Yarrowia lipolytica: one gene and its partner. The protein of the gene in region 1 interacts with the protein of each later gene in a pairwise test. Links are inferred from orthologs where the notes say so. Each region holds a gene or a part of one and is shown on either strand. Other genes may lie near its edges.

Region 1 (6,550 bases):
GTGGTCATTGTGAACGACAAGGACCGAGTCGTGGCGATCGGATCTGTGGTCATTGAGCGAAAGCTGATCCACCACTGCGCCTCGGCAGGTCACATCGAAGACATTGCTGTGGCCTCATCGGAACAGGGCAAGAAGCTCGGTCTCCATCTCATCAACACCCTCACAGCCATCGCTGAGCAGGTCGGGGCATACAAGGTCATTCTCGACTGCTCCGACAAGAACGTGCCTTTCTACGAAAAGTGCGGCTACACACACAGCGGAAACGAAATGGTTCTCAAGTTCAAGAAGCCTGGCACTTTGTAAGAAGCATCTCTCGAAAATCCATCTAACTCGCTTTATATATAACAATGCATTTATCATCTACATTCGTAAAACTACTGTGATTGAAACTGCATTAGTCAGAAGTACAGTATGTACATACATACTTCTGTACAGACGTACATACTTGTAATAATGCTGAGTTAAGTAAATGTCAAAATGCCAGACTCGTATAGCCATAATTACCCAAACCGAATACCATCCTCGGGGCTCCACATGCTCAAGTTGCTGGCTCTCTGAGCTCTGGGAGCTGCTAGGGGAGTGGAGGATGTATCGCTGTGGCCTCCGCTATGTTCATGCTCAGACAAGTGCATAGACGACAACTCGTGCTCGAGAGAAGCTCCCTCCATCTTTCGCTCGTACACAAACTGCTTACAGTTCTTGTGGAAGATGGAAATCTCACCCAGAAGCTGGTTGTAAAAGTTTCGCCCAGCATCGAGGTGGTCTTTTTGTTCCTGGTAGCTAAAGTAAGCAACCTCCAGAGATTGGATGGCGTTCTCTCTATGGATGGCAGCATCGTTCATGTCCAGCGAGGATCGGAAATCCTTGTTGGCAACGTCAAGCTTCTCTAGCACCTCCTCCTGAAGCTCCTTTTGTTCGGAGGCCCAGTCCTGGTCAACAGTGTATTTCTCCAGCTCCTTGGATGTGATGGGCTCGAAGTCAGCCAGGGTCAGACGCAGGTTGGCGTGCTTCTCTCGAATGAGCTTATTCATGTGATACTCCAAAACAGGTTCAATGTCGTCATTCTGCTGCTTTAGAGACAGTCGATCCATGTACTGAGCTCGTTTGATTTCCAATGACTCCAGATTGTTCAGCAGATCTCGCAAGTGGGGCACCTGCCGCTTGACCTCGGGAGACCGAACTCCAGAAACAGACGATGGTAAGTAGTTCTCTAGAGCACTTCGCCCTGAGTTGAGAATCGACAGGAGGTAGTCGATTTCATCCAATTTACCTCGAACAAGCTTATCAGACGCCCCTGCATCAGCTAGATACTGCTCCAGCTCTGCCAAACGGGTGTAAAGGTGGGCTCCAGCCTCCTTGGAGTCGAATCTGGTCCATCCAGAGTTGTTTTTACGTCTCAGCATCTCGTCCTCGCTTCTTTCGTCGTCAAGAACAGCCTTAGCGGCCTCTAGCTCCTGTCGCGCGGTAGCTGCCAGTCTCTGGACGTCCTTAACGGCCTCTCTGGTGGTCTCAAGACCTCGCTCACTCTTGATCTGATCGGAATGAGCAATGATATCGGCAGGAATACCCTTGGGCTTCTCGACCGAGTCCAATGATCCCGGTAGCGCCATCTCCACGAGAGCCTGGTTTTTGCTGTTGGTGCAGTTCTTCAGCTGACTCTCAATAGATGAAACAATCTTATCACATTCCTGAGAGTAAAGAACGAGGGCTTGGTGAAAGGCAAAGGGCGTGAGCTTGACAAACAGCGGAAGACCCAGCTTGTCCTTTGTGAGAAACTCTATGGGCTTAGCCAGCTCAACGGGAGGAGTACATTTGACCATCAGTGCAGGTGTAATAGGAGCGAGAGCGGTTGTCTGAGGAACAGACTGGAGATAGATAAGATTGTTATCCTTCTCGGCCCGTTTGAGATCTTCGGTTACTACGTCGATGATTCCGTTCAAATCATCGGCCACGCTCTCCACCAGGTACCTTCTGAGCATACCCTTTCCTGTCCCCTCCTTGATGGCATTAAGAGCAGCCTTGAGACGTGCAATCTCCTCGCCATATCTGCATCCATCCAGTGCGTCACGTGCCATTCGGTAATGTGCGACCGCTAGAAAGTGCTGTCGTTTGCACGTCATGTGATGCACCCATTCGCTTCGGACCTGCGGGCTCTTTTGGGCCCAGGCGAGCGCCGAGTCGTAAAGAAGAGATACCTGCTGCGCGAGCTTTGCCACCAGAGAGTTTCGTGAGCCACTCAGCAGCGATCTCTGCCAGAAACATTCCTGTGCTTGGGCCAACATGAGATCTCTAACACAGCAAATGGTGTCATATTCGAGTCCTCGCATGTTGAGACTTTCCAAGTCTGGCAAGCCGTTCTCAATGAGAATCTGGAAGCATCCTGCTGCCATTTGAAAGTAATTGAATGACATCTTTAGACCGTCTGCGTCCTGCCTTCCCTCATTGACGCCCATCTGACTGTACAGCGAGCCCAGGTTGTAGAGAAGATTGCATCGCTCGAAATGAAGGCTTTGACTGATGACGGGGGCGGCATTGGCGGTGTAGGCCAGAGTTCCGTACCACATGAACTCCAGGCTATCGCATCCGGCTGGAAACTTGGTAGTCCAGTATGTCAATTGGGCGTAGTACTTGGTGAGGTGGTCGAGATAGCTGGCGTTTGGTTGCGGGTTGAGAATGTTGTTACGCAGGTCGTTGGCTGTTTTCAGGTCGGCTGTAAACTTGTCTCGAGGTTGGTTCAGCTGCTTCTCGATGGTGTCGCCCAGTCCTGTGATTAGATCGACAGCTTGTGTCTCCCGAAACGGGATCCAGATGATGTTTGGCATGGTCGCAAGACGCTCTTGGTGTTTTGGGGTCGTTTCCGCACTTGCAAGCAGTAGCTGGCAGTGTGTTCAGCAGTAGGCACGAATCGATGTTTACAAGTTGCTGATTGAGTTGTTGTATGCGAGAGCTTATTGTTGATGTGATAAGAACATAGTAGACAGAGTGTAATTGGACTCTTAGTTGGGAAATTAAAAATCAAACTAAGAAGCCAAGTAATTTGCAACATGATACTTGACCGCTCATTGACTACAGGATGTACTTTACTTGTTCATACTCTCAACCACAGGTAGTACTCGTTACTCGTCACACACACACCCTACATTAATCAATTATCGAGTATCGCTCGAAGAACGTCTTTCAATGTTCTCAGTGACCCCTTTCTCTTCGTCCTCCATCTCTTCGAGCTTCCTCTCGTAGGCATTATCCTGCTCAGAGCCTCCAGAGATCATCTCTGCCTGTCTGTTTTCTGGACCCAGAAACGTGACACAAAGCACAAAAAAGAAGACACAACCCATCAAAATGGCCATCACCAGACTGTAATTGTACACTCCTGGTTTTTCGTTTCCGAATTTGTCATAAAGGGGAAATGTTTCTCCAATAGTGGCTTCAATGGTTGAAGAAGCAGAAGAAGCCAGGTTACCCAGCTGGTAAGCCACCCCTACCATTGACGATCGAAGGACCGGAGGGGCAAGCTCTGTAAGATGAATAGGGATGACTCCCCAGGCTCCCTGGACAAAAAACTGCAGAAAGAAGACTCCAGCATTGATTCCACTGTTGGTGACAAAGGCCCAAGGGTAGATCAGCGCTCCCCCTATCACACAAGAGATCATGATACACAGTCGTCTTCCAAAGAAAGAAGAAGCGTGACCCACAACAAGGCCACCGGCAATAGCTCCAAAGTTGGCCACACAGTTGGTAACAGTAGATCGGTCTTCGCTGAATCCAAGCTGTTTCTTGAGCATGGTCGGATACAAGTCCTGTGAGCCATGAGACATGAAGTTGAAGCCCCCCATGAGAACAACCAGGTAGGCAAACATGAGCCAGTACGTCTTGAAGGTCATCTTGATGCCTCGCCAGAAGTTCTTTTCAATACCTTCGGCCTCTGCTGCGTTCTTTTTAGAAAGAAGATAGGTGTCGGTTTCAGGAAGACATAGTCGGAAGATGATGATGAGAACAGGAGGACCCGAACCGAACCAGAAAAGAGCGCGCCACCCAAAAGGAGAAGTATCGGCAATGGCTCGGGTGAACACGACACACAACAAGTATCCGAATGCATAGCCTTCCTGTAGCAGTCCCGAAATGACTCCTCTGGCCTGTACTGGGCAGTCTTCGAGGGCTGTAGCTGCTGCCATGCCGTAGATACCCCCCATTGCGATTCCAAACAGAGCTCTGACGGCAAGGAACTGCTTATATGTCTGTACAAACCCGGTGCCCAATTCCAGGACAATAAACAAGACACAGTTGGTGATGAAGGGCCATTTTCGTCCAAAACGATCCGACAGCATTCCGAAGATGACAGCTCCAACAGATCGCAACATGAGCACAAGAGTGATACCCCAGGTGATACTTGTGACAGACACATGGAGACTCTCGGCAATTTCAGATGCAACCAGCGACACAGAAAAGAAATCAAACGAGTCCCAAGCCCAGCCACAGAATCCCACAGCTACAAACAACCACTGCTTCCTGTTCAGAAGTCGAAGGGCAGGAATCGGGTTGATGTGCTTTTTTTCCTCAACCGTGAGCTTTGGAGGCTTCAAAGAAGTGACTCGAGTGACTAGGTACCTCTTGATGTTCTTTGGAGACAGATCTGGTGCTGGGAAGTTGTCAAAATCCATGCTGACATGTATACAGACAGATTGAGCGAGTAGACAGGTCTATATATACGCCTGGATATCAAAAGTCGTGTTTAATCATTAAATGGCGAGATCATGACCCCTCAGGCGTGAACTGCTTTTCCGCCCTTTAGTCTAGCGGTCCAACCACAGTCTTATTGGTGAAACATTGTGGCCATGTGTAGTCCCGGAATGGATAGAGACAGTATTGGTCTGTTATTGTCCCATACGAGAGCCAAGAAGATACTGTGGAGTCTTATATAATGACATGCTCTCAAGTATCTGCAGCCTTGCGCAACGTCTCACTCCTCAACGACAGCTTCTCCAACTTCGTCAGTCCAAATTAGTACGTTGAGTCCCCGCCTCCGGTCCGCTTCTACACGAGTATATACGTAGTTATATACATACTCGTAGCTCTTGTATTATAAATCGACTGTCGGAAAATCTTTTTAGACCAGAGATAGGATTAGAAATGTAGACGTCAAGTATGTACTAGCGATGATAGTCGTCGAGCCCAACCTCTGGCGCACTTTGACTGGGGGCCAAATGAACAGTAGCCTGATAGCACACACGTAGGGGGAGGATTGACGTCTTAATAGATCACAAGTGCATCATCTGCTGCCGCAATCGTTCCTCATTCCACCATTCATATAGTCAATAAGTATACAAACGTATTCGCTTAGAACTTCTCCACTTCCCCACTAAAAAGTACTAAACGACCCGGATCGCCACTTCCGGAAGGATCCACCTACTTGTGCTGTATCTACCCGAGCGCAGGAGCACCCCGGAGCAGAGGCCTTCACCAGCCCTGTTGCTCCATCAGCTGTTCAAAATGCACAATAAATAATTACTTAACTAATCGACTCCTAATGGCCACCCTTGGCGGCCTGCTCCTTAACCTTCAACTCACGGTATTTATCCTGCGCGGCACGTTCCTTCTTGACGAGCCAGTCAACCTCCTCCTGCAGAGCCGCGCTTCGCTGCTCAATGGCAATCTCCTCCATGCGGGCTAACTCGGAAAACACGGCAATCTCGACCTCAACAGACTCAAGTTGAGACCACCGAGAAGTCAGCTTTTTAGATAAAGTAGCCTGGCGCTTGGCATACGCCTTAAACTTGTCCACCAGAGCAGTCTCTTCGGTCTGGCAAGTTTCCGCAAGAGAAGTTAGCGTTTCAACAAGCTGGTCGGATATGATTTCCACACGGGTCTTGAACTCCTCCTCGGACTCGTCGGAACGAGCAACTGTTCCAGGAAGAGCAGCCGTCTTAATATCCTCCTCCTGCACTTCTTGCTCATCGCCCTCCATCAGTTCCATCTCAATCAAAGTTTCGGCATCCACTAAGTCGTCGAGAGAGAACTCAGACTGCATTAGAGCCACAGAATCGCCTTTATTGGGAAACCTAAGCTCCTCCTCTCTGAGAAGAGCAACTACTTCTTGACCGATAGCATCATTGTAAGTAACTTCAGGAACAGTAGCCCGGGGAAGACCTCTCTGAAGAGTCTGAGAACGAGTCTTGAGAGCTTCTTGTCGCTCCTGCTCCTCGGCAATTCTTTTCAATCGAGCTTGTTCGCCCTTATCAACTGGCAAGTTATCTGTAGGCTTCTTTTCCTTATCAGCTTCCTCATCTTCCTCTTCGTCCTCCGCAGTGATTTCGAAATCGTTCTTGGGCTTAGGAAGAGAGGCCAGTTTCTGGCGCAGAATAGAAACAGGAGTAGCTTCGACAGATCCAACCAAACCCAGAGCGTCCCGCTTGATAGGAGTCATCCCAGCAGGAGTAGCTCCTCCTATATCGGATCCAGCAGAAACACTAGTGACAGCCTTGTTAGAAGGCAGCTTGGGGATTGCAAATCCATCTTTATCAGCTTCAGCTTCGTCGTCGACCTCTTCCTCGGT
Region 2 (7,919 bases), on another chromosome or scaffold:
TCTGCTCATCCTGGTCAAGATATACTATGTGTCGGTTAACAACTACCGAGACAAGAAATGGGCTGCCATGACCAAGGAAGAACAGGTGGCCTATCTGCGTACCACCAAGGATCGAGGAAACCGACGTCTGGATTTCAGATTCGCGCACTAAAAAAAAAAAATACACCTGTATAGATATTTATTGTGAAATTTTAACCGGTCTCGTATATAAAATGATTGAGTACATTTTCCTAGCTAAGCATATTACAATCTCGCTACACTTAGTACAATGTAGGTGTTATACTCGTAGTATCATACAGTACAAGTACTCGTTGTTATATGGTCATTGCTGTTGCTCCCCTGTCTCTAGTTGTCGTGCTTACCAACAAGTAGCTCTCCACTCAGCCGTGTCGGCCTAACTTCGGCGATAAGTGAGTCAGTAGAAGTAATATCCAAAACAGTTTTAACAGCACTTGACGTAAATAGCATCAGAAACACACTGGAACACACACGATCGCAGAAATTTCCTCGCATCGCTATCAGCGACTTTTATCTATATCATGTGTGTTCATGTATCAGCAACTCTTCCAATCTACAAATAGCACTTTGAGCCCGGGAGGACCGGACCCGACATGCATATAAAGACATACAGACATGGATACAGGTAATTGCACTTGGCTAGAGGTGATATGTCAATAGTTAACAGTCTTTATTGTGTTAAAAGTAGCCAGAGTGCCTTCTAGGCTATATATTCTCATGGTATCTACAGTGTACTACCCTCGGCAAAAAATAGTCCACTGGAAAAGTACATTTTTACCGCCCAAGAACTCAATCATGCAGATAGCACGTCCCCGCAATAAGCAGCTCTTCGTAGTGCTTTAAGAAAATACATCGCCAGAAGCTGCTGCAATACACAGTCACACATAACACACCATGCTCAGATCTTCTCGAATAACAGCCGGTACTTGTGTATCACGCGGGTGGCACTCATACACGACCAAGACACCCACGAAAACTGCGATCCCTCCAGCCGCCAAGTCGTCTAATGAGGCCAAAGATCTCATTCTCTCCGTGCTTCAGTCGGCAGCAACCAAGCGAGAGGCCAAGACGTATATTTCACGATACGCACCATTGACGGGTGTGGAGCTGCAGAAGAAGAAAGAGGGACTGGTCCAGAGACTACTGGGAGTTGGCAAGGAACAGGACAACAAGGAGATTGAGAATCTGACAGGCCATGCCCCAGAGGGTTTGTTGGGCGACTCGGAAGGCACTCTGCGAGTAGCCATTATCAAGATCAGAGACATCAAGTCAATCGAGGATGATCTCATTGCTCAGATGGGAGAAACCATTGCTCGACTGTCGCGTCTGGGTGTGTCGCCTATTGTCGTAGTTGACGCAGGCAAGGCCCGAAACGACTTCCTCAAGCTCGACAACAAGCCCTTCAGACATTACCAAAAGCTCATTCTGCAAAAGGTGTTCAAGATCTCGGATGCCATCGATGCGGCTAGTCCAGACGTTGGAGCACGGCCTATTGAGGGACTCTTCTCCATGAACAAGAAGGGTCTTCGGCTGGCCATGCCCCAGATGCTCATGCATCCTTTGTCGCATGGAAAAGTGCCTGTTCTGGCTCCCCTAGCTTACGACGACGTTACCTCCGAGGAAAAGCTCGTTATGGCGGACGACGTGGTGCATTTCCTCACTCAGAAGCTGGCCGAAGTACCAGCAAACATTCTGTCGGTGGAAAAGATTATTTTCGTGGACCCCTTGGGTGGCATTCCCTCCGTTGAGAGATCAGGAGCCCATGTTTTTGTCAACCTCAAACAGGAACTATCGGACATTGCTGCCGAGCTGCACATGGGTTTCATTCCTCCTGCTCAGCGTGAAGTACATCTGGCCAACCTCAAGGCCATGCACAAAGCCCTCAAATTTCTGCCTCCTACAGCTTCCGGTCTCATTACTACTCCTGCTGTGGCGGCCATTCCCTCAGTAGGACGAAACCCCATCATTTATAACGTTCTCACAGACCGACCTGTGATTTCGCCTTCTCTACCTGTGGAGCTCAAGAAGACTCCCACTCTAGAAACCACTCTTCTGCGTGAGGGTATGCCTGTCATTACACTCAAGTCTGACAAAGGCCTGAACCTCATCACTGAGCACGAGAAAGGCAACATTGATCTGGACCGTCTGTGGCATCTGATTGAAGACTCCTTTGGACGACGAATCGACAAACAGCATTATCTCAACCGAGTCAACGGCAAAATCGCAGGTATCATCATTGCTGGAGACTACGAGGGAGCAGCTATCATCACATGGGAAGACATTGACCCAGTCAAGGCCCAGGAGGATCGAGATGCTGCCGATCGAGCAGCTGCCGAGGCAGCTGCGGCCTATGCAGCAGGTATCCCCCTTCCTTCGCCGCCTCTGTATCAGAAACTGGGAGATGCCGTGCCTCTTAACCCCAACCAAGTGGCGTATCTTGATAAGTTTGCCGTTCTGAAACGGTCCCAGGGCTCTTCGTCGGTAGCAGATGTGGTTTTCAAGGGTATGGTCATGTCTCAGTTCCCCAACGAGCTGCTGTGGCGATCTCGAAAGAACAACCCCGTGAACAAGTGGTACTTTGACCGGTCGAAGGGCAGTTTCAAGATCCCCGGTAGCGAGTGGTGCATGTTCTGGACGGGTCGAAAGACTCGAGAACAGTACCTTGAACGATTCGTCGACATTTGTACCAGAATCGAGCCTTCTTTGAGGGAGGAGTTATAGCCTGGCAAGGAATAGACATGTCTATAGAACATAAAGTAATGCAGCATTAATAATGAATTGAGTCTCCACGTACTACAAGTAGTAGATTACAAGTCGCACTAACACAATCTGGTCATATCATCTCATTAACTATCTACTTAATATATGCGTGACAAACGTTAGTTATTCGCTGCTCCGATGCTAATTACCCTCCTGGCCAAAATCGTTGGTGAAGTCTTCATGACGAGTAATGTCGTCGTTGTTGACGGTTGGTCGAGTGGACTTTACAGCCTTGATGAAGTCCTTGAGAGTCAGCTCGGGCTCCAGAACTGTTCCGTCCTCCAGTTCCATCCAGTTGAGCTCGGTTGCCTGGGGGTCTCCAGGAGAACAGGGGGTATACTTAGTCACGCCGTCGATCTCCACAGGTTTGAAATGCGTTGCTTCCTGGATTTTTCGGATTGGTTGCATCAGGGCGTCTCGGACAGACACTGCCACATCATGACCCGAGTATCCGTCGGTCATCTCAGCCAGAGTTCGGAAATCCTTCTGAGTCAGTGCACAAGGGGTGTTCCCGACGTTTATCTCAAACATACGGGCTCTGGCCTCGGCATCGGGTAGGGCAATATAGATTCGTCGCTCAAAACGTCGTCGAATAGCGGCATCCAGCTGCCAGGGAATGTTGGTGGCACCCAGAACGAGAACGCCACTAGCGTCGTTACCCACTCCATTCATCTGGACCAGCAGCTCTGTTTTGATTCGTCGTGACGCCTCACTCTCTCCCTCTCCTCGAGGTCCACACAGAGCGTCGACCTCATCGATGAAAATGATACTGGGCTTGTTCTCTCGGGCCATGGCAAACAATTGCTTCACCAGTCGTTCAGATTCACCCATCCACTTGGACACAAGGTCGGAGGATGAAACGGAAAAGAAGGTGGAGTTGGCTTCGGTCGCCACTGCCTTGGCCAGGTACGACTTTCCGGTACCGGGGGGTCCATACAGCAGAATACCAGACAAGGGCTTTCGCTTGCCAGTGAAGAGATAAGGGAATTTGACGGGCAAGATGACTGCCTCCTTTAGAGCTTGCTTGGCTGCCTCCAGACCAGCAATATCTTCCCATTTAACGTTGGGCTTTTCATTAAGGATGGCTCCAGCCAAAGCTCCTCGCAGCTTCTTGGTATCATTGTCGTCGTCTCCAGATCCGGCCCCGCCGTTGGCTCCTCCTCCCTGTTTTGCCGCTTGGGCTGCAGGCTTGCTTTTTTGCTTGTCGAGATGTTCCTTCAGCTGCTCTGCCCGAGAAAAATACTCTGTGATTCGCTGTCGCAGCAGCTCCTTGGACTTGGGGTTCTTCTCGTACTTGATTGCCTTGATGAAGTAGTCCAGTCCGTTGACATACAATTCGTGTGCCTCCTCGTACTTGCTTGCGTTGTCGGCCTCGATCGCCTTGCGCACAATTTCTAGCGCCTTGGATAAAAAGTCCACGGTAGCCATTTGTGTGGGTGGTTGTTGGGTTAATACCTCTCGATAAGTGCTGTAGGTGGTGGATGGACCTCAAGTTTGAGTTTGAAAATCTAGGTGGGAAGGCTGAGGTGTGGCGATAAGGTACGTCGTAAAGGGAGTAAACGTAACTAACCGGGTTGTTATGTATAAAATCCAATAGCTGGAAATCATATAAACACATTAGGACGTGTTAAACGCTTTCGGCGGCAATTTTTTTCATTCTTTGGATAGCAGTTATCACGGATTCCAAATTAATAAAAGTCCGCCATCATAGTATAGTGGTTAGTACACCACGTTGTGGCCGTGGAAACCTCAGTTCGATTCTGGGTGATGGCAATGCCAATATTTTTTGCGTAGTCGGCGTGCTGAATAAGCCACAAGTTGCTAGCAAGCTTTAACCGGTGCAGTTTATGCTCGTAGCTTGTTCAAACAAGCACGTTGCCTCGCCTCGGGAACCAAAACATCTCACAAGTTGCCTACCGTACGCACAACCAAGATAATATCTCACGTTTCGACAGGATTTAGGCCATTACAGTAGAGTCAATTGGGATGCGGAGCAAATACTGTACTTCTTCATACTGTATACAAAAGAAAGGATTTCATTAAACGCGACCCCGACTCTTACGGTCACTTGTCCGTGTAAATATATTGGTACATACTGTATTCAACTGTTCAATAAGTACCAGTACGTACCACTCCAGTAGTCATTTCGCCTTGCATTGCGATGCTATATTTGGAGTGTGGTGTTATTATGCGACAAACAATAAGAGATCTTGCATAACCCCTAAAATTATTGGGAGCGCCGTTGCCTGGCCAACCGTGCTTGCCAAAACAAGGTTGCGTATAAACAAACAGTCACCTCGCACTATACAGTACACCAGCACCATGTAGACCCAGCACCACCGACATGTTGGTACATAAGAGAAATATCGCCTCTTTGTACAGAGCGCACTAGCTACCGGTAACAACCAATTCGACTCTCAAATGTCGAACAAGCCTCGAGACCTGCCCGAGCCACCGTCGCCGGCGTTTGTCAGCCAGCGTCAGTCGCTCCACATTGATGCCAACCCCTTCTCCAACCCTGGCTCCCCTACTCGATCTCCTGAACGACAAGGCGCCTATGGATCTCCCTATGGCACTCCTCGAGCCGAATCTCCGACCCGTTTCGGCTCCCCTACTCGGTATGGAAGTGCTCATGGAGCCCGAGGAACCCCTCGAGCAGAGTGGACTCGTCGAGAGACACCTGTGAGTGAATTTGATCCCATTGTCATTGACGACGATGATGATGATGCGGTTCTGGCTCCTCCTCCTGTGTTCCCCACAGTCGATTCTCTACGACAGTCGCAGATGAGTGTTACCAGTGACTTGAGACAGTCTGTCATGTCCACCTCTTCTGGCGGCCATTCTAGCCACGGATACGGTCACCAGTATGCATTGGCCCGAAGCATCACTTCACAATCCACCTCCTCTTCTATCACCGCCACCTCTTCCCGAGATTCTATGATCGACCACGACGAAGATGACGACGACGAAATGGAGTTTAGAAAGGGAGACGAAAAGAACGGCTACCGAATGAAGTACCTCGATGACAGAGTTCACGATGAAGAGGAATACGACGAGGAGGATGACTCTGATGCTCACTCTGTAGCCACTGTCGCCTCCCACCTCTATGAGGCCCCCCTCCAAGCCCAGCCTCGACGTCACAAGTCCATGGCCCGAAAGAAGGTCAAGTTGGTTCGAGGTAACCTGGTCTTAGATTGTCCCGTCCCCACCAAGCTTTACTCGTTCCTGCCACGACGAGACAATGATGAGTTTGTCTACATGCGATACACAGCCTGTACCGCTACCCCCGATGAGTTCAATGACGAGGGCTTCACCCTACGACCTGCTGTCTACGAGCGAGAAACACAGCTGTGCATCTGTATTACCATGTACAACGAAGACGAAGTGGCTTTTACCCGAACCATGCATGCTGTTATGAAGAACATTGCCCACTTGTGTTCTCGAAACAAGTCGCGAGTGTGGGGTAAGGAGGGCTGGAAGAAGGTCGTGGTCACTATCGTCTCCGATGGTCGAACCAAAATTCACCCTCGAGTCCTCGACTGTCTGGCTGCAATGGGTGTCTACCAAGATGGTATTGCCAAGCAGACCGTCAACGGAAAAGAGGTGCAGGCACATCTCTACGAGTACACCACTCAGGTGTCTCTGGATTCGGACCTCAAGTTCCAGGGAGCTGAGCGAGGTATCATGCCTGTCCAGCTGCTGTTCTGTCTCAAGGAGAAGAACGCCAAGAAAATCAACTCGCATAGATGGCTCTTCAACGCATTCTGCCCCCAGCTGCAGCCTAACGTGTGCATTCTGCTGGATGTTGGAACCAAGCCAGGAAAGGACTCACTCTACCATCTGTGGAAAGCATTTGACGCTGACTCGAACATTGGAGGAGCTTGTGGAGAGATCACCGCCATGAAGGGTAAGCAGTGGCGGGCTCTATTGAACCCCCTGGTGGCTTCTCAAAACTTTGAGTACAAAATGTCGAACATCCTCGACAAACCCCTCGAGTCTGTGTTTGGTTATATTTCTGTGCTTCCTGGAGCTCTGTCGGCCTACCGATACCGAGCTCTCTGCAACAATCCGGATGGAACCGGTCCTCTCAACTCGTACTTCAAGGGAGAGTCTCTGCATGGTCGAGATGCTGATGTGTTTACCTCCAACATGTACCTCGCTGAAGATCGAATCCTTTGTTGGGAGCTTGTGGCTAAGCTCAATGAGAAGTGGATGCTCAAGTATGTGCCTTCTGCTACTGGAGAGACTGATGTGCCCGACAGCGTACCTGAGTTTGTGTCGCAGCGACGACGATGGCTCAACGGTGCTCTTTTTGCAGCCATTTACTCTCTGACCCACTTCACCCAGATCTGGAAGACTGACCATTCTGTCTGGAGAAAGTGCCTGTTGCATGTGGAGTTTGCATACCAGTTCCTGCAGCTTCTGTTTACATTTTTCTCTCTCGGAAACTTCTTCCTGGCTTTCTACTACGTCGCAGGCTCCATTTCTGGCCCTGACTCGGCCGTCATTTCCAACAATGGAGGTCTCGTTCTGTTCGTCATTTTCAAGTATCTTTGCATTACCACCATCGTTGCTCAGTTTGTGATTTCTTTGGGTAACCGACCTCAGGGCTCTCACTATCTGTTCCTGGGCAGTATGGTTATCTTCGCATTGATCACGGCTTACTCAACTGGAGTGGGTCTGTACTTTGTCATCAAGACCTTGACTCTGGAAGACACTGTGTCTCTTGGAAACAACGTGTTCACCAACATTTTCGTCTCCCTGGCCTCCACCTACGGTCTTTATGCTGTGATGTCCTTCCTGTACCTGGACCCCTGGCATATTCTAACTTGTTCAGTCCAGTACATTCTGCTTCTGCCCTCGTCCATCTGCACCCTCCAGGTCTACTCCTTCTGTAACACCCATGATGTTACTTGGGGTACTAAGGGAGACAACGAGCTTACTCCTGATCTTGGATCTGCCGTTGCCCAGAAGGACTTTGGTCAGGACGTGGTTGAAATTGAGATGCCCTCTGAGCAGCTCGATATCGACTCCGGCTACGAAGAAGCTCTCGGAAACCTCCGGGAGAACAAGGTGATTGAGTCGGCCCCTCCCTCTATGAGCACTGTCACAGATGATTACTACCGAGACATACGATCGCG

Evidence for each region.
Region 2: the proteins of YALI1_D25419g (region 1) and YALI1_B21323g interact in a two-hybrid assay, tested with the Saccharomyces cerevisiae proteins (2 studies listed by BioGRID). The link is inferred for Yarrowia lipolytica from reciprocal best matches to the Saccharomyces cerevisiae genes RIM20 and VPS4.

The regions. Positions count from the first base shown.
Region 1 is NC_090773.1:2,538,153-2,544,702, reverse strand, and holds YALI1_D25419g (uncharacterized protein), read right to left. Parts: upstream 2,823-6,550; coding exon 501-2,822; downstream 1-500. Other genes in the region: YALI1_D25450g (uncharacterized protein), read left to right, coding at 1-303; YALI1_D25400g (uncharacterized protein), read right to left, coding at 3,150-4,658; YALI1_D25370g (uncharacterized protein), read right to left, coding at 5,522-6,550. UniProt on the Saccharomyces cerevisiae protein: Required for the proteolytic cleavage of the transcriptional repressor RIM101 in response to alkaline ambient pH, which is necessary for sporulation and invasive growth.
Region 2 is NC_090771.1:2,128,602-2,136,520, reverse strand, and holds YALI1_B21323g (uncharacterized protein), read right to left. Parts: upstream 4,207-7,919; coding exon 2,920-4,206; downstream 1-2,919. Other genes in the region: YALI1_B21381g (uncharacterized protein), read left to right, coding at 1-151; YALI1_B21356g (uncharacterized protein), read left to right, coding at 913-2,739; YALI1_B21313g (uncharacterized protein), read left to right, coding at 5,200-7,919. UniProt on the Saccharomyces cerevisiae protein: Involved in the transport of biosynthetic membrane proteins from the prevacuolar/endosomal compartment to the vacuole. Required for multivesicular body (MVB) protein sorting.